2 linked regions of the Lonchura striata genome follow. The protein of the gene in region 1 purifies or fractionates together with the protein of each later gene. This does not show direct contact. Links are inferred from orthologs where the notes say so. Each region holds a gene or a part of one and is shown on either strand. Other genes may lie near its edges. The genes, in order: AAR2 and TTC27.

The links.
Region 2: the proteins of AAR2 (region 1) and TTC27 purify together in Homo sapiens (affinity purification with mass spectrometry; 3 studies listed by BioGRID and IntAct, with this or other methods). This does not show direct contact. The link is inferred for Lonchura striata from reciprocal best matches to the Homo sapiens genes AAR2 and TTC27.

Annotation. Positions count from the first base shown.
Region 1 is NC_134619.1:13,897,332-13,907,245, forward strand, and holds the start of AAR2 (protein AAR2 homolog), read left to right. Parts: upstream 1-6,183; 5' UTR 6,184-6,203; coding exon 6,204-6,951; intron 6,952-8,422; coding exon 8,423-8,652; intron 8,653-9,914. Other genes in the region: EPB41L1 (band 4.1-like protein 1), read left to right, coding at 593-709, 1,808-1,816. UniProt on the Homo sapiens protein: Component of the U5 snRNP complex that is required for spliceosome assembly and for pre-mRNA splicing.
Region 2 is NC_134605.1:35,401,700-35,411,973, forward strand, and holds the start of TTC27 (tetratricopeptide repeat protein 27), read left to right. Parts: upstream 1-5,964; 5' UTR 5,965-6,108; coding exon 6,109-6,196; intron 6,197-8,935; coding exon 8,936-9,113; intron 9,114-10,274.

The sequences.
Region 1 (9,914 bases):
TCTAGGTACCCTTTCTCTGTTGAAATACTCCAAAGTGACCCAGGTCACCTTTCTCTTCCAGCACAATCCCACTACAGGTTGAGTCTCTCCAGGTGATGGTGCCTCAGTGTCAGAGAACAAATGTGACACACTTTTGTGATGAAATAACAAAGACTGACACAAATCTCATTTTCCTGTGGCCTCACCCTTTGGGATTTGTTACTTAAGAAAAAAATAAAGAGATAAAATAAATAAAAGGCTCTAAATTAATTTTTAGAATTATGATAATGAATTTGCTAATTCCTGTAGATTTTTCTAGTGTTTTCCTTTGCCCAGGTTTCAGTAGCACATCTGTACAGAAAAAAAGCAGAGAAAGGCAACTCATGAGGGCTCCCAATCATGGATGAATTCCCAATCATGCTGGATTCCCATGCTGGGCTTCAGCCTCGTCTGCCAGGCTGCTGTGGGTTCAGCTCTGAACCCCTGCATTCCTATCCTGGAATCCGACTCTGCTCCCTGGAATCCTACTCAGCTGCTTTCTGGCTGCAGTCAGGGTGTCTGATTGCAGGAGAGGGAGGATAAATGCTCTCTCTCTCACCCTTCTGCTTTCCAGGCACTGGCTTTAGCAATCAAAGAGGCAAAACTCCAGCACCCTGACATGCTGGTAACCAAAGCTGTGGTGTACAGAGAAACAGAGCCCTCTCCAGAGGAAAGGGACAAGAAACCTCAGGTAGGTGGAGAAGCTGCCAGGAGTGATGTACACCTGCTGGTAATGGGGGTGTAATAGGTCACGATCTCTGGTCCCCACCAGCCACAGATACTGGCATGGTGGCTCTGGGCACTGCCACCTGGTTGTGGTCAGGAAGCCACTACCATGTCACTGAAAGCAATGCTGTGGATGTCACCCTGCTGTCCTGCTCAGCACGGGGCTCAGAGGCATTTGATGTAAAAAGGAAAAGACCTGGAAAGGACCTGCTCGTCCCCCTGGAGTGGGAAGGGGTTTGAGGGGACCTCAGGTTTGTGGATAGGCTGAGGCATTTGTCTACAGGTTATGCAAAGCCAAAGTATCAGACCAATGCTGGCAAAAATGATAACTTCTTTACAGAAACTCTACAGATTTTCAGTCCCCTCAGATCCTCAGGCTGGGTTTTTATACACAGCAGCACACAAGGTTTGCACCTCCCTGCAGACACCGCAAAGCTATCAGAGTCCCAGACACTTCTCTAGGACTTGGGGAGTCCTGCACCACCCTAAACCCCCTATTTGACCCCATTCCCCCCTGTCAGCCAGGAGATGCGGCTCCTCTGGGTTGGCACAGCCACCAGACCCTGTGTGGGAGCAGTGGGGACAGAGGTGGAGAGGAGAGGGAACAGTTTGGGGGCTCTGGCAGCAGCCAGGGTGCAGGTGCATTTGGAGAGGCTCCTCAGAACTGGGACTTTCCATTTCTTTATCATATGAAGGTTCTGATGGGCAGCTTTTAAGCCTGGAAAAGCGACCAGTAATGCAGCTGGGAAGGTCATGAGAGGCTGGTGGAGCTGCCTCATCCTGTCCCACAGTACAAACAAGTCCAGACATTCCTGCATCCCATAGGATCCACCCAGTTTTAGTGGAATGGCTTAAAGTGAGGGAGCAGCAGCTCCCCTCATGTCCTTCATGCACCAACACCACCCCAGTGCCTGAATTCCTGCCAATAACCAGAGCTCCTGCTAACTAAATGTAAACTGTGGCCCCAAGTGTTTGCAAAGTTTCTATCCAGTGCCTTCATCCAAAGAGGAGCCTCCATGGACTGGCACTCCATGACTTGGTCCTTTCTATCTGCCTTGCACAGGAATCCTGACCAACATGTTCCTGGAAGCCAACATCTATATTCAAACCTGGAGAACAGGGGAGAAGGAGCCTTCATGCTGGATTTGTCAGCAAGACATAGACATCCTGGCTGCAATGTTCATGGCAAGAGACAAAAATTTTTAAAAAAGGAATAGCAAATATATTATATATATATATACATACATACATATATATATATAAAAACAGGAAACAAAATGCATCCTTGCACTGCTGCTATATGCTGGAAACAAATAGCAAACAACACCACCAACAAACAAAGGCAACCCTCTGCAGATAAATTGAAGAATTTCGTGGATTGGTGATCAAATCAGATTTAAAAAGTCGTAATAATAACCATAATCTTGGTAACAATACAATAAGCCACCATCTTGCATGTTACATGAAAGGACACACAATCATGAGTTCATTTGTTGCACACTGAATGGAAAGGAAAACTGCTTTGCAACAAAGCAAGTAAGCAAACTGAAGTTAAAAACCACAAGCAGAAGCAAAACCATTCCCCACCTCTGGAAAGAAGAGAGAAAAACATTGAAGTTATGACCTTAGAGTTATTTTCCAATTCACAAGTGTCATTTCGCCCTTCTCCTCATTCCATGCTGGTTTTTTGCATTTTTGGGGGGGTTCTGTTAACTTTTCCCCTTCCCTTCCTTATCTTCTCTGTGCACTTGTCCAACCTCTTGTTCTCTGAAGGTATTTAGGAATTGGTTTCATTTCAAACAAAAGCAAATGATATGTACATGGTTTCTCATCTCTAACGAGCAGCCTGTGGGGTTTCATATGGATGTGCATTTCAGTTCTGTATATTATTCTATATAACGGAGGGGGAGGGAGGGAACAATGCTGAAATAATTCAACAGTGATGGTACAGACGGTGCCAACATTTTGAAATTGTTAACTCATGGATTGACTGTGGTTGGGGTACTTGGAGACCCAGATCACACATGGGACTCTGAGTCCCACAAGAAGGAATGGGAAAGGTTTTGGCTGCTGCTGGCTGGGGGGAGGGGAGGGGGCAAAGGACAGGAATGTCCTGCCGGTGGTCTGCAGTGTGTGGTGGCGAGGTTTGGAGGGGCACGGAAGGCTCCAGCTCCAGCCGTAGGCACGATGGGCTCCCAGCCCCCGAGCCAGAGCTGCCCCCAGGGTCAGCGGGGAGCGAGACGGGAGCCGCAGGGCTCGGGGCTCCCTGCAGGAGCCCTGCGGTAGTGGGGTGGCTTTGCTTTGCTTCTGGTTCCCAGTAGGGCAGGTTCTTGAGTTTTTTTGTAGGGTCAAAGGCAGAGGGGCTGTTTGTGCCCTGCCTCCCCCACTACCAGGGGTGTGATGGCAGAGGGCTGGGGACAGCGCTGGCAGGGCCGTGGCAGTGCTCCCCTGTCTGCCTGGGGATGGGCAGGGCAGGGAGCGTGCTGTGTCCATCCCTGCAGAGTGTCCCCAGCGTTCCAGGCTGGATGGGAGAGCCCAGGAGGCGTCAGTGGGGCTGCTCCCAGCTCGGCCTTCAGCCACAGGCTCCCTCCAGGGCTGCCTTTGGAAGGGGATCGTGGGCCAAGCCCAGGGCCCCATACACTGTGAACCAGGCAGTTCAGGTAGGCTCCCAACCAAAACCAGAAAGGAAAGGAAAGAAATGGGTTTCCTTCTTGGAATTGTTTCTAGCTCCTGCAGAAACCGAAGGAGCCATGATTCTGCACCATTTTGCCTTTAGTCTCCCACCCCTCACACAGGCTGTGCCCAGGACCAGGTGTGTTCTGCCAGGCCTTGCCAGGGCTCACAGGATGCCCGAGCAGGAGCTCCTGAGCCATGAGGATGCCGTGGGCAGACCCTGCTCCCACCTGCGCTGTCCCAGGAGGGAGCTGCTCCCTGGCAGCTGCTCACCAGTGAGTCTGTTCTCCTGGCAGAGAGGCTTCTCCTGCAAGGCATGGAAGGCAAGAGCACAGGGGCTGCTGCCAGTGCCCATCCCCAGCTGCCAGCCACGTGTCTCCAGAGAGCACAGCCCCAGCCTAGCAGCACTTAGGGCAGTTGCAAAGAGGCTCCTTTTCTCTCGTTTGTTTTCCCAATGCAGCCCAGCCAGCTGTGCCCAGCAGAGGCACTGCCAGAAGTGGCAGAGGGCCGGGGTCTGCCCCGTGCTGGCGTTCACCAGTACATGTCACAATTCAGGGCCAGGGGAGCCCACCTGGCTGGGGCCCCTCGCCAGCCCACCCGAGGCCGCTGTGACCCTGCAGAGTTGCTTCTGGTGTTGTGCCCAGCGTGGGAAGCCAAGGCTCCCATGGGATTGAGTAGACTGAGGCTCCCTGTGCACTTGGGCTGAGGGAGTTCTGTTTGCAGTGAGCAGCCCCTGGCTCCCACAGCGTGTTCATCAGTGGCACTGTCCAAACCTTTTTTTTTTTTTTTTTTCTTAAAAGAAAATAATAAAAGCAAAGAAAAAAAGCTCACTGCTTGTTCTCCTGGTGACTTGCAGCTTTCTGCTGCTCAGCCCCAGCCTGCCCATCACCACTCTCTGTTCTGGATAGCTGGTCACTGCTTTTTTTCTTCCAGGGGCCATTTCTGTGGAAAGGGGTGGAAGACATGAGTGCCTGTTTTTACCCAATCCCACAAATTCATTCTGAACCTGGCCTGCAATTGCATGAGTAATAACAGTAACAATAATAATAATAATAATAATAATAATATTTATTTTTATTTGAGAAGCACCTTACCAACCAACTGCAACGCTCTGTTGTTCCTTCACTAACTCTCCTTTTCTCTTCCCTTGTTCTCCCTCACCCCCTTTGGTCATACTCCTTTTCAGTGCTCAGTGGTGTATGCGTGTGTGCTCACTGTTCTTGTATTCAATAAAAGTGAAATAAATGTGTTTGATGCTAAATCAGCCTGGGGCCTCGGTTAACTCTTTCCTGTTGAGAGGATGGAGACGTGAAGAGGGAACCTTGCAACAGGGAGCACTGCACATGGAAATACCAGGCTTTGTCTAAAGAGAAGATTGTAGAAATCACAGAATCCCAGAATGGTTTGGGCTGGAAGGGAATATAAAGCTCATCGTGTTCTATCCCCTGCCACAGACAGGGTCACCTTTGACTAGACCAGGGTGCTCCAAACCCAATCCAGGCTAGCCTTCAACAATTCCAGGGATCCAGGGGCAGCCACATCTGCTCTGGCCGACCTGTACCAAGGCCTCCACACCCTCACAGGGAAGAATTCCCTCCCAATATCCCATCTAACCCTGCCCTCTGGCAGTGGGAAGTCATTCCCTATGTCCTGGCATTCCAGGCCCTTGTCCCAGGTCCTTCTCCAGCTCTCCTGGAGGCCCTTTAGGCCCTGCAAGGGGCTCTGAGCTCTCCCTGGAGCCTTTAATTTTCCAGCTGAGCACCCCTGGCTCTCCCAGCCTGCCTCCAGAGCAGAGGGCTCCAGCCCATTTGAGCATCTCCATGGCCACCTCCGGACTCATTCCAACATCTCTGCGCCCCTCCAGCGTGAGCTGGACGCAGTTCTGCAGGTGGGCTCTCAGCACACCAAGGGCAGATGATGTTGCCAGGTCGGGAATTGCGGCTGGTGGAGCCGGGAGCGGCTTCGTGTGGCAGGTGCTGAGCCTCGGGCTTGTGAGAATGCTCGGGGTGCGGGAGGCAGAGGGAGCTGCCCATCCCTGGGGACCCCGGCCCTGTCTTGTCCTGGAAGGGAGGACGTGGTGCTGGGACGGTGTCTGTGTCACAGTGAGGGTCTCAGTGTCTGTCCCGGGGGCCTCTCGCTCCATCAGTCCCAGGCACGGCTCTTGTCCGTCTGTCCCGCTGCGGGGCTGGGAGCACGGGGGGCCCAGGGGAATGGCAGGCAGCTGGAGGGACTGGCGACCGGTTTGGGGGACAGCGGGTCAGCGGGGGCAGCCGCCAGCCACGGAGAGGCAGAAGGGAGCAGCGGCGGGCCGGGGGCTGAGGCTGGCCGGCGGGGACAGGGACGGAGCGGCACCGATCGGGAGCAGTTCCCGCAGGCGGGCCGGGGCCGGGGCCGGGGCCGGGGGGCCGGGGCCGGGGGGCCGGGGCCGGGGGGCCGGGGCCGGGGCCGGGGGGCCGGGGCCGGGGCCGGGGCCGGGGGGCCGGGGCCGGGGCCGGGGCCGGGGCCGGGGCCGGCGGGCCGGGGCCGGGGGGCCGGGGCCGGGGCCGGCGGGCCGGGGCCGGGGCCGGGGCCGGGGCCGGGGCCGGGGCCGGGGCCGGGGCCGGGGGGCCGGGGCCGGGGCCGGGGGGCCGGGGCCGGGGCCGGGGGGCCGGGGCCGGGGCCGGGGGGCCGGGGCCGGGGGGCCGGGGCCGGGGCCGGGGCCGGGGCCGGGGCCGGGCGGCGCGGAGGCTCCTCCCGCGCCGGGCCCGGATGTCCGGGCAGCGCCGCCGCTCTCGGTGCGGCCCGGCATGGCGGCTCTGCGGCCGGACCCCGAGCTGGCCCGGCAGCTCTTCTTCGAGGGCGCGGCCGTGGTGGTGCTGGACGTGCCCGAGGGCACCGAGTTCGGCATCGACTACAGCGCGTGGGCCGTGGGGCCGCGGTTCCGCGGCGTGAAGATGGTGCCGCCGGGGCTGCACTTCGTGCACTGCAGCGCGGCCGGCGCCGGCGGGCGGGACGCGGGGCCGCGCTCCGGCCGCTTCCTCAGCCTGCGGCGCCGCGAGGTGCGGGTGCTGCGCTGGGACCCCGCGGGCGAGGCCGTGCGGCCCGAGCCGCCCGAGCAGGGCGAGGCGCTGCGGGACAGCCTGCGGGAGCTGGACCCCTTCCTGGGGCCCTACCCCTACGAGACGCTGAAGAAGTGGGTGTCGCTGAGCAGCTTCATCAGCGAGGCGGCGGCCGAGGAGCTGCAGCCCGAGAGCGGCCAGATCTGCGCCTTCGCCGAGGTGCTGCCCGAGGCGGCGGGGCGGCACACGCGGGACCGCGCCGGGCAGCGCCGGCCGCCGCTGGGCGCCCAGTGCCGCAGCTACGCCGAGGGGCTGGCCCGCCTGCCCCGCATGCGGCCGCGGGCCGGCACCCAGATCCGCTTCTCCGAGCTGCCCCGGCAGGCCTTCCCCGACGGAGCCACCCCCGAGGAGATCACCCGGCACAGCATGGACCTGAGCTACGCCCTGCAGCGGGTGATGGAGCAGCGCTACCCCGGCCGGCCGCTGGGCCTGCTCGGTGAGCGCCCGGGAAATGGCATTCCTGTGCTCCAGGTGGGACCTCTGCCGGTTCCCTGGCGCGCCGAGGGCTCTGCGGCGCAGGACAGAAGTTTGGGCAGTTTCTGGCATTGCCTGCAGGAGACTGAGGCCGGAGCTGCAGCTCCTCCCGAGGGGCAGCTGCCATCTCTCTTCTGTGTGACCAGGGAGAGCACCCGAGGGCCTTCAGGGGAAGTTTAGCTTGGATATTAGGAAAAGGTTCTCCCCCCAGAGGTGCTGGCACTGCCCAGGCTCCCCAGGGGATGGGCACGGCCCCAAGAGCTCCAGGAGCATTGGGGCAGCGCTGCCAGGGGTGCCCAGGACGGGGTTGTCGGGGGGTCTGGGCAGGGACGGGGGCTGGGCTGGGTGATTCTTGTGGGTCCCTCCGGACTCAGGATATTCTGTAATTCTGTTCTATGGCTCTGGTGTGGGAACGTGGTGCTGCAGCCCTGATTGCCCCGATGAAGTCAAAAGCAGCCGTCACAAGTGGCCCTGGCACCTTAGCTGTTCAGGGAACATCGTGAGGACATCTCTTACGGAGTCCTGAGAGCACCGAGTGGGGATGGGCACCCCCGGCCCCTTCTTCCTGCTAGGTTGGGCAGGAGCTGTGGGCCTGGTGGTTCCTACTGCAGGGCCCGGCCCCTCCTGGCCGTGCTCCGTGTGCTGCTGGTGGCAGTGACAGTGACAGTGGCAGTGTCCAGGCTGTGCCAGCCCTGCTGTGGGGGCACCACACCTCCCGGAGCTCAGCTGTTCTCCAGCCTGCTTTGCAGCCTGTGATACAAATAAATGCTGGGTTTGTGGAGGTCCTAGAGCAGGGTTTTGTTTTGTTGCAGGATGGAGGGAGAAGCCCTCCCAGGTTTGGAATAAGCCTTCGTTTGTCCCTTCTTCCATTTTTTTTGTACATTAACATTATACAATTTATTCTTCTTCAAAATTACCAAAGACAACTGTAGGATGTAGAGAGAACAAATTGCCTTAGGGAATGGTGGGAAAACAGCTGATACCAAGCATCCAGTGTGATGAACCCTGGCTCTTAATTCAGCAAGACAAACACACTCGTTGAGGCACTGCTGATCTCTCCCAGAATTCCAGGACAGTGCTGTTTGCAGTCCCATGTTGTGCTGGACACTCAGCACTGGCAGGCTGGACACTCAAAGTATAATAGCAGGGTCTGCCTTGATGTTTGGGGCTGTTTGGTGTTGTTTGCTGTCTGTAGAGTCCTTCTCCAGTGCTGATAATCACAGTTACAGGTGACCTGCCCCGTTCTGCTTTGTTTTGCTCCAGCTGAAGAGCAGTACAGGGTCAGTGTTTGAGTATGCACTTGAGGAATGCACTTTGCAAAAGCCAAACCAGAGTTTAGAAACCATTTGCAGAGCTTTGTGTATGACACATTCACAGGATATCTGTTTAGTCTTACATGTTTTGTTTTGTTTCCCTTCTCTGAACCCACACAGCTGAGTTGCAGTTTGCCTTCATTTGCTTCCTGATTGGGAATGTGTACGATGCCTTTGAGCACTGGAAGAGGCTCCTGAACATCCTGTGCCGCTCAGAGGAGGCCATAGGGAAGTACCAAGACCTTTACATCAACCTCATTTCCGTGCTCTATCACCAGCTCAACGAGATCCCAGCAGATTTTTTTGTGGACATTGTCTCCCAGGACAACTTCTTAACCAGCACCTTACAGGTGTGTTTGTGGCTGTTCCCTGGGAAGTTGAGTGGGAGGGAAGGCAGTGTCAAATTTGGGGTGAAACTGCCAAAGGAATTAAGCTGCATGGGAGACAGGAACCTGTCTGAGCACACAGGGGTTATTTTGACTTTTTCCCTCTGTTATTCAGTAAGAAATTCAGCTCAACAGCTACAAGAGAGGCTGGGCAAGTGCAGTGTGGTGTCTGTTTGTTTAATTTTTCCAGAATGCCTTTCATTCTTGAAAAGAAAAAACAACAACAAACCTTTGGCATGAAGGACTGATGATGCTGATTTTTGGAATGGTGTGCTCAGTGTGCAGGGAAGCTGCAGCAAAGCCTTAGTGAGCTAAGGGCAGTGATAGTGTTTAAGCAGCTTTTCCATTCCTTAGCACAGCTGAGGATTTCCTGTAGTCAGGTTCTTCTCCAGAGGGAATTTATGGTTATTCCAAAATGCAAAAGATGCTGCTTCTGCTGAGACAGGTGGGGCAGATGTGTAGCTCAGCCCCAGTGAAAGCAGTTGCTCCACTACTGGTGACAGTGCTGGCAGTGCAGCAAACTGGCTTAGTTTACATAAAAAGCCCATATCAGACACCCTGATAAAGCTGAGCAATGGGAACCAGCCCAGCAGGAGGCTCTGCTGTGGGTGCAGTTCCATCCCTGTCCTTGTTGACCCAAGTACTTGCTGTACTTTTGGGGAAGGTGAAGGTTTTTGGGCTTAATTGCTGGGTAAAATGTTTTGGGAAGCATTGCCTTAATCAAGTGGCTTTCAGATTTTTCAGTTGTGATTCTTACAAGTCTCGGGAGGGTTTTAATTTACATTTTATATTTGGTAGGTTTTTTCCATCCCACTACAGGACTGGACAGTCCAGGTGTGTTTGCAGCACGCTCAGAGCAGTGCTGTCAGTTCACAGCAGTACCCAGAATACTCTCCAACCAGCCATTCTCTCCCCTTGAGGGGAATTTGGGAATCCCTTATTGCTGCTTCTGGCTTCCTGAGTCTTGTTTATGCCTGGGCTCCCTCAGTCTGTATTTCAGTCCCTCAGCAGGAGCCGGTGTCAGAATCTCCCTGAAGCCCTGGCAGGAGTCACCACATTCCCAGTGACAAAGAAAAGCCTTGCAGACTGAGCCCTTCCTCACCAAGTTCTCCACTGCTCTGCTCCTGTGGGATTTCCTGAAGTGGAGCCAGGGAAGCTCTGGGCTTTGCCTTATCCCCACCTCACACACAGACATCAGAACTCTGCCTCAGCTGCTCAGAGCTGTG
Region 2 (10,274 bases), on another chromosome or scaffold:
AGTTCCCTGCCCTCAGCATAAATTTGGAGATCTGCCCTGAAAACACAATGCCTCATCTACATCCAGAGAGATTAGAAGAACATACAGTGAAGGATCTCCTCCATGTGTGCCATTCCTGGGTCACTTAATCTAGGACTGATGTATAGTGGCAAAACCCACAGAGTAAATACCATTTCATCCCAGGCTGGATAGTTCTGAGCTGAGTGGAACTGAATACAAAGAATTTGTAGCACTGGCTGATCATTTTACTTTACAAAGGCCTTTCTTTTGGTGTCTGCACACAAGATTGTTTTATAAGGATTACCATCTTTATTCTAAAGGGTTTAGATGTTACATCTATAAAACAGCAAAAATCAGCATTCCGCCTGTATTATCCTCTTGTGTGTTGGCAATGGAAGGAATTCAGTTACACCAAAGTCCCTAGAAACTGGAGGTAGGGTTTTATATTCCTTTTCCATTTGGAGGAGTGAATAACTGCTTCTAATAGATCAATAAATGACTTACTGCACCTGCAAAACAGTGCCTGTCTTCTTGAAGAAGGGAAGCTCTACTGTAGATGTCTGTTAGGACAGAAACTTCATTGGGCAGAGAAAACAAAAATGTGCCAACTAAAATTGCTACAAGGGAGAAACAGCAGTTCTTTCCCAGCAGGGATGTCAGTACACAACAAGAATGAGTCACTGTGATGCAGTTCTGTGATTCAGACAATTCAAATCCACTCTGGGATGTCAGAACACCAACATATTTTTGCTGTGTGTGAATCCATATAAAGATGAAAAGTATTCTCCAGCTCTTGATAAATTCCTACATCTCTAACAACTGTCTCAAAATATTTTAAAATATTCTTTTCTAAATTTGTTACAGCAAAGCTGGATTTCGACAAATTTGCTCCTTAGTAAAACATCTGTATTTGTTTCATATCATTCTTTATCAGGAAACCTAGAGGCGCTATATAGTGAAAAAGAGCCTTAGACAATTCAGACAAATATCCTAAAATTAGGAGTAGATAAGTACCAAAACCCAGAACTGTTTTGTTGTTAGTAAATTTTTTTTTAATTCATAAAGCTAAACAAGAAGAGCTCTTCCTCTGAGATAAAATATAAGTCTAGAGCACTTACTTTTCTCTCAGGTGAACAGGTTGAGAACAGTATGAATGTTTTACTTATCCTGCTGTTCAAAGTATGATCACAACAACCTGCAGCTTCTTTGTGGCAGAACAAAATTAACCTGTAGACATGGGATAATCCCTTACTATTTCCTAATCTATTTTTACTAATAATTGCTGCAGTCAGTCTTTGAACAGAATGGATGTATAAATAGATCAGCAGAGTTCAGGCAATCAGTAAGTATAAAAAGTCCTTTCTCATCATAAGCATTTCTAGTCATAACTCTACCAGAATGTTCCTAAATCTACAACATCAGACAGAGGAAAGAATTTCCCACAGCCACAAAAGTAAGGCATAATTTTGCTGCTGAGAACAGTTGGAAAACCTATAGGAACTTATTTTCATCCTACTAGCCACAAGAAACCTGGAAGACGACTGGAATATGATACCACTCACTGTACCATAGGATCTGAAAGATTGTACAGAAGTTCCCAGTTAAAGCCAAAGCCTGATTTTTTGATACCAAGAGTTTTGCTTGTGGAAAGTAAGAGATTGTGAATGACACAGGTTTCCTAATGTTTGTGGAGTCTAATGATTAACAGCAGCAAGATGAATGAAAAATCACTTGAGTGCTGGTTTTACACAGAAAATTTTTTAGAAGAATCCTTTGGACATCTTCAAGGACTGTAAAAGAATTGATTGATTTTGATTTCTTCAACTCTCTGGAAGCCTGCTCGGAACACGTCAGTTTCTCCTTTGGGCAGTCAGGGAAGTAAAGAGGGAAGCAGAAGCAGTCATGAAGGACAGGGGAATGAGTCATCCTAATCCACTGTAATGATCTCATCAATCCTTCACCATGTCAAGTTATAAATATATAGTAAATATTGACAAGCGTGTTGAGGCAGGTTTTGAAAGAGAACATTTATCTTATTGTTGTTCTTGCCAGGACAGATAATCCTCAAAGAAGCTAGTAGTTTCAAAGATTTAGGGAGAAACTCATTATGGAGAATATGAGAAATCATTGCAGTGCAGATTTTTGGTTGCTGAAGGACATTGAGATCTACTGGTGTTTTCAGCGTGAATACTTTCTCTCCATCTATTTCCCTCCACTATAATCTAGATATTTATCTTACTAGAACCTTTTTCTTTGCAACTTCTAACATTTGCAGTCAGTTTTGCCTGCCTCAAACTTTGGAGAACCAATAGCATCCACAGTGATGTCCCATATTGTCCAAAATAACATTTGAAATTACCATAAAACATCAACTTCCCATAAATATTGCACAAATTCAAATTAAATTCACTAGAACAGTTGGATTTCTATCTTTCCCAGACACTTCCAAAATTTGAGGCCTCCTGCCTTAACATTTGGTTCTTTTAAGTTCTATTCTCCTGTGATTATAATTCTATCACACTGCAAAGCTATGCTGAATTTTGTTTTACACAAATTTAAACTGAGATGGCAAAAAGCTCTTCTCTGACATACAGGCCACAACACTCCCAATCACTAAATACCTCCTCATCCAAAATACACATTTCGGAGAAGAGTAGAAAATACAGGAGTAAAGAGATTAAAATTATCATATGTAGTTTAAATAAAATATTCTGTTTCCTGTGTGATGTAGTGTGACTGGAACCAATTTTGTTTGGCTTTCTTTCTCCAGCCTATCAAAGAGAATCCAATTAATGAGAGCCATTCAATATTTTTTATATCTAATTTTAAATCCTTCTCTCTTTTTGAAGCTAGCAAAGGGAGAAAATATTGCTGTATTAAAAAAAATAAAAAAATAATAAAATAATGCTTCTGTATGAACTCATATAAGGCATTAACTACTTTGCAAATGTCTACTTGGACAGATATGACATGCTTATTTAATGAAAGAGCAATTTCTGAATTCTTTTGTTGAACAGTAAATTTAATTATTTCTATGTAAGCTTTGGTTTCTTCATCTGAAAACTCACAGATGTTACGTAGTTGAAACAGAGCAAATTTCTTCTAACTAACTAAGTAACAATTAATTCTTAAAAGATCAGATTAGATATGTTCTGAACAGAGCAACATTTGCAAAATGGTCAGCAAATTCTTATTCATGGACATCAGGAATGACAACAGATTTTCTGTTAAATGGCTACATTTTAGAAAAACTAATCTATTACAAGTGGGAAGACTGCACCTCAAATATTAAAGCTGTATTTTACAGACAGAGTATTTATTGGAGACCTACTTCCTCTTTTTCTACTCATCTCCTCATCCTGGATACCATACAAAAAGAGATACAGTAATATTAATACATAGTATATTCCAAATGATTAATGAAATTATTGTCAGCTTCTAGAAGAGTTGCCACAATGCCAGAGAAGAGCTGTCCAGGGTTATTTGCAACTGGCCATGTTCTTCATTTTACATTTCCAAAGAATGGTTTGAATCTCTCTTCCTGTGGTGCAGTGGCCTACACTAACTGTTAGTACTTCATAAAGTTGTGAAGAAGAGAAGAATTCCCTAGCCTCTATTATTTTAGCACATTTGAAATGTAGCTTTTTTACCTCCACTTCAGTGATTTTGTTCTTTGGGGTTCAGTGAAGCAAGAGTGTAAGTTGGCCAAGTGCTCAGAGAGACTCGAGGGATGCAGAGCTGCTTGGTGAGTGCACTGAAGCAACCTCAGTGCACGCCAAGCATCATGTCCCTGCCTGTGTAACTAAGGTATTGTAACCTTAAATATGATGAATCACAGAGACCAACTGGTTAGTGTGATGTAACTTGACTGAACTGACAGAGACAAGGCAAGAAAAACTGATACAATTCCCAAATATGAGCCTTGCATCTCCCTTACTCTCTCACCAGGTGCATCAAATGTGCTCCAGAATTGCAGAAGTTTGGTTGCGCAGTCATGCAAATTTTCATCCTGGTATACCAATGAGCTAGTTTTTCTTTGACAATTCCTCCCCTTTCCCCACTCCTCAAACAACAAATCTATTCCTGCTCAAAAATAGCACACAACACAATTGCTTCTCTCCCCAGCAGTACCAGAGACCTGGCACCCAGAATTCAGGATCAGTTTAAAAACCATGTAACAGCAGCTTTTACAAACAGCAGCTCACTGTGTCACTTAAAATGTCATAATAAAAAAATCTATGCTAATATTAATTGTTTGAAGCTTAATTTTTTCTTTTCTTTACAGTAAGCAGTGTTTTTTTTGTAGTCCGTAAGGAGATTGTCTGTTTCAAAAGGCTTTAGGAAAAAAACCTGCAGAAGATAAATACTGCATCAACACAGCAGCACAGGTATCTTGTAAGGTGATATTAAATGCACTAATTCAGATACCACAGTAGCACATTTCATATGGATAATTTTCTCACACTCTCAGAAAAAAAATTAAAGATTAAGGTTATTCTCTGAAAACTGTTGTGTCAGAAACTTTTATAATGTACTTCCTGCTTAGAAACAATAAGCAGCACTATGCTAAAATTTTGAATCTGCACTACACAGCACTGCAAAGACTTTCTTCCCCTTGAGCCATCTGGCAGAAGCTGTCCTTAGATGCAAAGAAAGCATGTTGATTGTTCTTTGAGAAATAAATGTATACTCTTCAAATAGTTTAGGGAAACAAACTTAAGCAGCAGATTTCAGTAAGTCTGTGGCAACTAACAAACACCCCAAACCATCTTTTACATCAGCAGTAACAATCTGCCCAGTACCAGGGAGGAGTGCACTAATTCCTGCCAGAGGTACTCCTGCCCACATACCTGCTGCAGCTTCCAGATATTTCTAGATGCTCCCAGACCTGAACTGTAGGGGTGAAACTCCACACGCTGGGGTAACTGGCAGAGGTGAGGAAGACAGCAAAACATGCCTTCTTTTTACTGAGGAATTATACTTAGCAACTATTTATTCACAGAAAATGTTACTTTACTGGTTTTCCCTGAAAATAAAAAGCACAAAATCTCATAATAGGAATTTTAATAATATCAAGCTTGTGTTTGGACAGGTGCTGAAATCAACATTGGGATAAACCAAAGCACGATCCTGATCTGCCTGCCCTGAGCGCTGGGCACCTCAGCCTGCACCTGCCCAGGATCACAGAGGATTCTCCACAGAGGATGTATAGATATGTATAGATATCTGAAGGGAGGTGTGGGTCTCAGATTCAGTCAAAGAGAGAAGCGGAGAGTTTCTAGCCAGGCAGAAGCCTGGGAAAGAGCTGGGGAAGAATGTAAATAATTCTTTATCTCTCTTGTTATTCACATTGTTTATAGTTAAATTCTATCACTATGTGTCAAGCACTCTGCACCAATGGTGTAGGTTGTTTTCACTTCAGAACCAATGGATTTGGTCCTTGCGGAGCTCTGTATAAAAGAGTGGTGCATTTGAATAAACCAGAGTTTTACTCTCAGCAGCCTTCTGAGTCAGTCTTCTCATTCCCGTCCTGCCTCGACAGTGACAGGGAGGGTGTCAAGAGGATGGAGCCAAGCTCTGCTCAGTGGGGTCAAGCAATGGGACAGGAGACAATGGGCAGAAACACAGGAAGTTCCAGCTCAATGTAAGGAAGAACTTCTTTACTCTGGGTCTGATTGAGCACTGGAACAAATTCCCCAGAAAAGCTGTGGAGTCTCCCCCACTGGAGGTATTCCAGAACCATCTGGATGTATTCCTGTGCCATGTGCTCTGGGATGACCCTGCTGGAGCAGGGAGGCTGGACAACAGAGTTTGGACCAGCTGACCCACCGCGTTCCCTTCCAACCTGGCCCCTCTGGCGATTCTCCCCAGGGCACCGCCCAGGCAGTGCTCGCGCCCCGCCCCGCCCCGCTCCCTCACGGTCTGTTCCCGGGTCAGCGCCGCCCTCAGCGGTGGGCTGGGGCCCGCGCGCCCTCCCGGCGTGCCCCGCGCCGCTGTCATGGCGGCTCCCTGCGGCCGCTGGCCGCGCATGGGCTGAGGGCTGTTGCGGGCGGCACGCGAGCCTCTGTGGGAGCGAGCGCGGCGGTGGCGGGCCCGGGCGGCGGGGCTATGCTGGCCCTGGAGCACGCCCTGCTCAGGGGCTTCCTCAGCGCCGCCCAGTCCCTGGAGTGGAAGCAGGGCGAAGTTACGGCCGCAGGTGAGGGGAGCTCCCGGCCCGGCGCGGGGAAGGTGTCCGCTTCTTGTGCGTGTCCGGAGCCACCGGACTGGACCGGGGCCGCGGCTGGCGGCTCCCTGCTCCCGCGGGTGTTTTCACCTCCGGCGCCCTGTCAGATCCTCGCCGAGCTCCCGGGGCCTCCTGCCCGCGCGGGCTGCTCAGGCTGGAGGAGCGGGAGCGGCGCTGCCGGCAGGGCTGAGGCGGCCGCAGCGGCGGGGCCCCCGCAGGGTTCCCTCGGCCGCTGTCGGTGCCGGTATGGCGGACGCCGCGCCGGCCGCCTGATCTTGCACTCGGGAAGCCTTTAAGCACGGGGCTCCCTCCGGCTGCCTCTCGAGTGAAAGGCTGCCTGCCTGCTGGAACTTGGCAGTGGGGCGGAACGCGCTAAAACGTGGGAAGGAAGAGTCTGGCACGAGCTGCCTTTTCTATATTTATCAGTTACTCGGTCACTGTTGCTTGAGGGATAAATGGAAAAGTCTCTTGAGGGCACTTGGTTAGACCCAGTTTTCTTGCAGGGGAGCTCAGCAGCTCTTAAAATGTAACTTTTGTCATGTAAAGGTACTTCCATGTTTCAAGCAGACTAGTTTTTGACATGTTTCAAGTCATGTGCCGTATTGTATGTAGTATATTGAAAATCTCATTTATCCCTACCTAACTTACAGATTTTTGGAAAAGAGCCATACAGAGCTAACCAGGTCTTATTTCGGTATGTGACTTTTCGTTTGGCCTTAATCATTGTACTGTCCAGGAATGGCAGCTGATGTGACTGATATCTGTCACATCTGTCTTTTCAGCAAGGGTTGGGCATGATCTTTACCACATAGAGTTTTTCTGATTGCTTTTTTTTTTGCCATATTGTTTGTTAGCTTTGGTTTGTTTTGAGGTGCTTTCAGTAGTGTGCTGCTATAAAATGTGGGGAAAACTTGAAGAAAGGCATTTTGCAATAGAAATAGAAAATAGTGGGTTTTGTGATGATTCTTAGTCATCATTTACATGGGCCCTTCCTATTGATGATCCTGAATATAAATTTAAAAGCTGTGACCTTGAATTTATATAGTGTCCTATAAAAAGCTACACACATAATCAAAAACAGATTTTATGTGCTTACAGTTATGTTACTGGAAAGAGAAGAACCTCAATATTCCTCATTCATCATCACATGTCCTCACAGCCCATAGTTATTCTACAAACTACAGCAGTCCCTGTCTGGCAACTATAACCCAATACAAAGAAGTTGTCATTTGGTGAGAGAAAGTCTCTCCAAAGAATAGATTGGAAAAGTCTCTTGTTATTTCTATTCTCTGTGAGGGTGTGATGTCAACAGCTCTGCTGAACCACTGGTGTACTTTTATATATGTCCTTCTAGGTATAGCTTAAAGTGTTTTTTAAATAATGCACAGCACATGTTATCTCTTATACCATTCAATAGCTCATTGTGGAGAACAGAAGTAAACTTTGGTCAACAGCGTGGTGCAGAGATTTTAGAATGAATGAGTCTCTGTCACCCATTCCTACAGAGTCATCCATTGCTGGTATTGAAGGTGGTTCTGCTGTCTGTGTTCCTGTATGTCTAAAATTTAAATACTTGTTTAGCTGGATGACTTTGGGGTTGGTATTCATATCAGTTCTTTGCACAGCTGCTGCTTGTGTGGATCCACAGTGGTGACAGTGTTAAATTGATTACCTTGGCTGCTGATTTTAGTGCAGCTACTGAGTGCAGGGAGCTGCAATCCCCAGCTGGAATCACAGATTGATAGTGAGGCGCTTAGCTTGTGTAGACCTCTGCATTACCTCAGCTGCACCATCACCAACACCTGTATCATCTGGTCAGAAACCAGTTAGTGTGTTTGCATGAGTTGTAGCCACAGCTGCAGGATAGGGAGATAATGGTTTTGCTCAAGAACAGCAGGTTTTAACATGGCCAGATTTTTCCAACAACTGCTGTATTGATTGCACAGTAGCATATCTGAAGATAGCTTCTGTGAATATAGTTGTAACCTGCATCAAGAACTTGATGGGTCTGAAGCTTCTTAGAAATATATAGCATTTCTTGGCTTCACTTCGTCTTGAAATCAGGCTTAAGAAATAGTCATGGGTCTAAATCCACCTTAGTAATTACCCTTAAGAATTTGCTCCATGTGCAAGCTTTTCATTGAGGTAGTAGAGTTAAAATAGGAAGTAATTCTTTTGTAAAGATAAAATCTCATTGCCCATTGTGTGTGGGTATTCTAAGCATGTAAATGAAGGACTGAGCAGTTTCTGAAGTTGTATATAACACTGAATTCTGCAAATATTGAATCATTTTTTGTTACATTTCCCCTAAGTAGATTCTCTGGTCTGTGAAATTACTGTCTTATCTATAGGACTTTACTGTTCATTTAAAATGTTTTGAAGGAAGAACATCCTGCTGTTATAACTGAAGTGTTTTAAAAGGCCATCCATTTATTTTTCCTGAAATTTCAGTGCAAGTTTTTGTTTTACATTCATCTGGTCGATTGTGTTTCACTGTAACTTTAATACAAATTATTTTGAATTAAGTGACACCTGCTAGTGATGCTCTTGTGTTTCAGTGCAACTGCACTTTCACTGCAGTGTAAATGAAAATATATTCTTTAGAAGGGGAGTGGTATATATTTTCACCTGAATAGGTTTAATAGGTCTTGAAAGACAAAATTGTTTGGAAGTTGACACTGATTTCAGTCTTGTTTTCTTTTTCTCTTCCAGAAAGTGGATCATTGTTGCAATTGATGCTTGATGGGAAATATGAGGCAATATTTTCACATTCAGCCATTCAGAATGTTTTCAGTGCATCTTCTGTGACAGAGGAGAACATGGACACTTACTTGGAGAAACAGATTCTAGCATACCTGGATTGTTCTGCAGAGGTTGATAGCGTGGAAAGGTGGAAATTGTTATTTGTTATATGCAAGTTTAATAGAGGCTATGTTTGGTTTTTACAAAAGGCATTTAAAAAATGTAGAATTTTTATAGGGCCTTCAAAATCTTTGTACTGATAGGAAAGCAGAAAACAAATTTCTTGTGTTATTTCCCTTGCTCCCTTGTGCATCTCTTTGTTACTGTCCAGTGAAAGAAACAATGATGTTGTGATACAGGGGTTTGTTGAAGACATTAGCTTTACCTCAGAAAGCTCTGGTATAAAGTCACACATGTAAATTCATTTGGCCATATATCATCAAACAATTAGCAATTTTCTCTCTGAAATGTTGTATTACATTTATGTGGCTGCTTGAAGTACTGTGTAATGTTACTGTCCAAGCAATGGCTGTATTTCTAAGTCTAACCTATAATGAGGTTGTTCTGCTCTTCTAATGTAAAAAGGCGTACAGTGTTACTCATGGGTGCTGTTCATCAATTAATTATTTTCTTCCCAAGACCTCCTCTGATAGAGTCTCTCTTAATTGTACTGTATGTGCTGATTGTTGCTGTTAAGGAGTATGAATTTACTGTTGACAGTTTGCTGTGTTAAATTATGAACAGGCTGAAATCTGACATGCTAGGCATAGTAGAAGCAGAAAGCTATGTGAGTTTTGTGTGTATATATATTGGTATTTTAAAAGGTAAAAAAGTTTCACCAAAAGATAAGAGAAGATAAAGATTAAAAACTAAAAGAGGAAGGTAGTTGTTACCTGTTAGTGTTGGCAGAGTCCAAATACGTGTGTTTTGGTATGACTCGCATGAACCTAAGAGTTTTTACTAAAATATCAGGGAAAAAAAATTAGTTGGCATGTTGGAAAAACTGAGCTGAGATTTGTTCATGATCATAGTGTGTCAAAAACTTGTCTTCTGATGTGGTGCACAATACAATGCACTCCTGTGTTCTGAGTTAGCATTCAGAGGTTTTTCCCATGCATGTTTTTTGCTAGGTGTTTCTTGTTTTTTTCCCCTTACTTTACTGTGCTGTTACTGTTAAATATTAGCTGGATAAATTTTTCAATATTTCTAGATTCTATCACCTTGCGGTAGTTTGAATAATGTGACAAGGAAATAAAAATCATTCAGGACTTGAAACAGACTCAGTCCTGATCTTAATTATTGCTTCAAA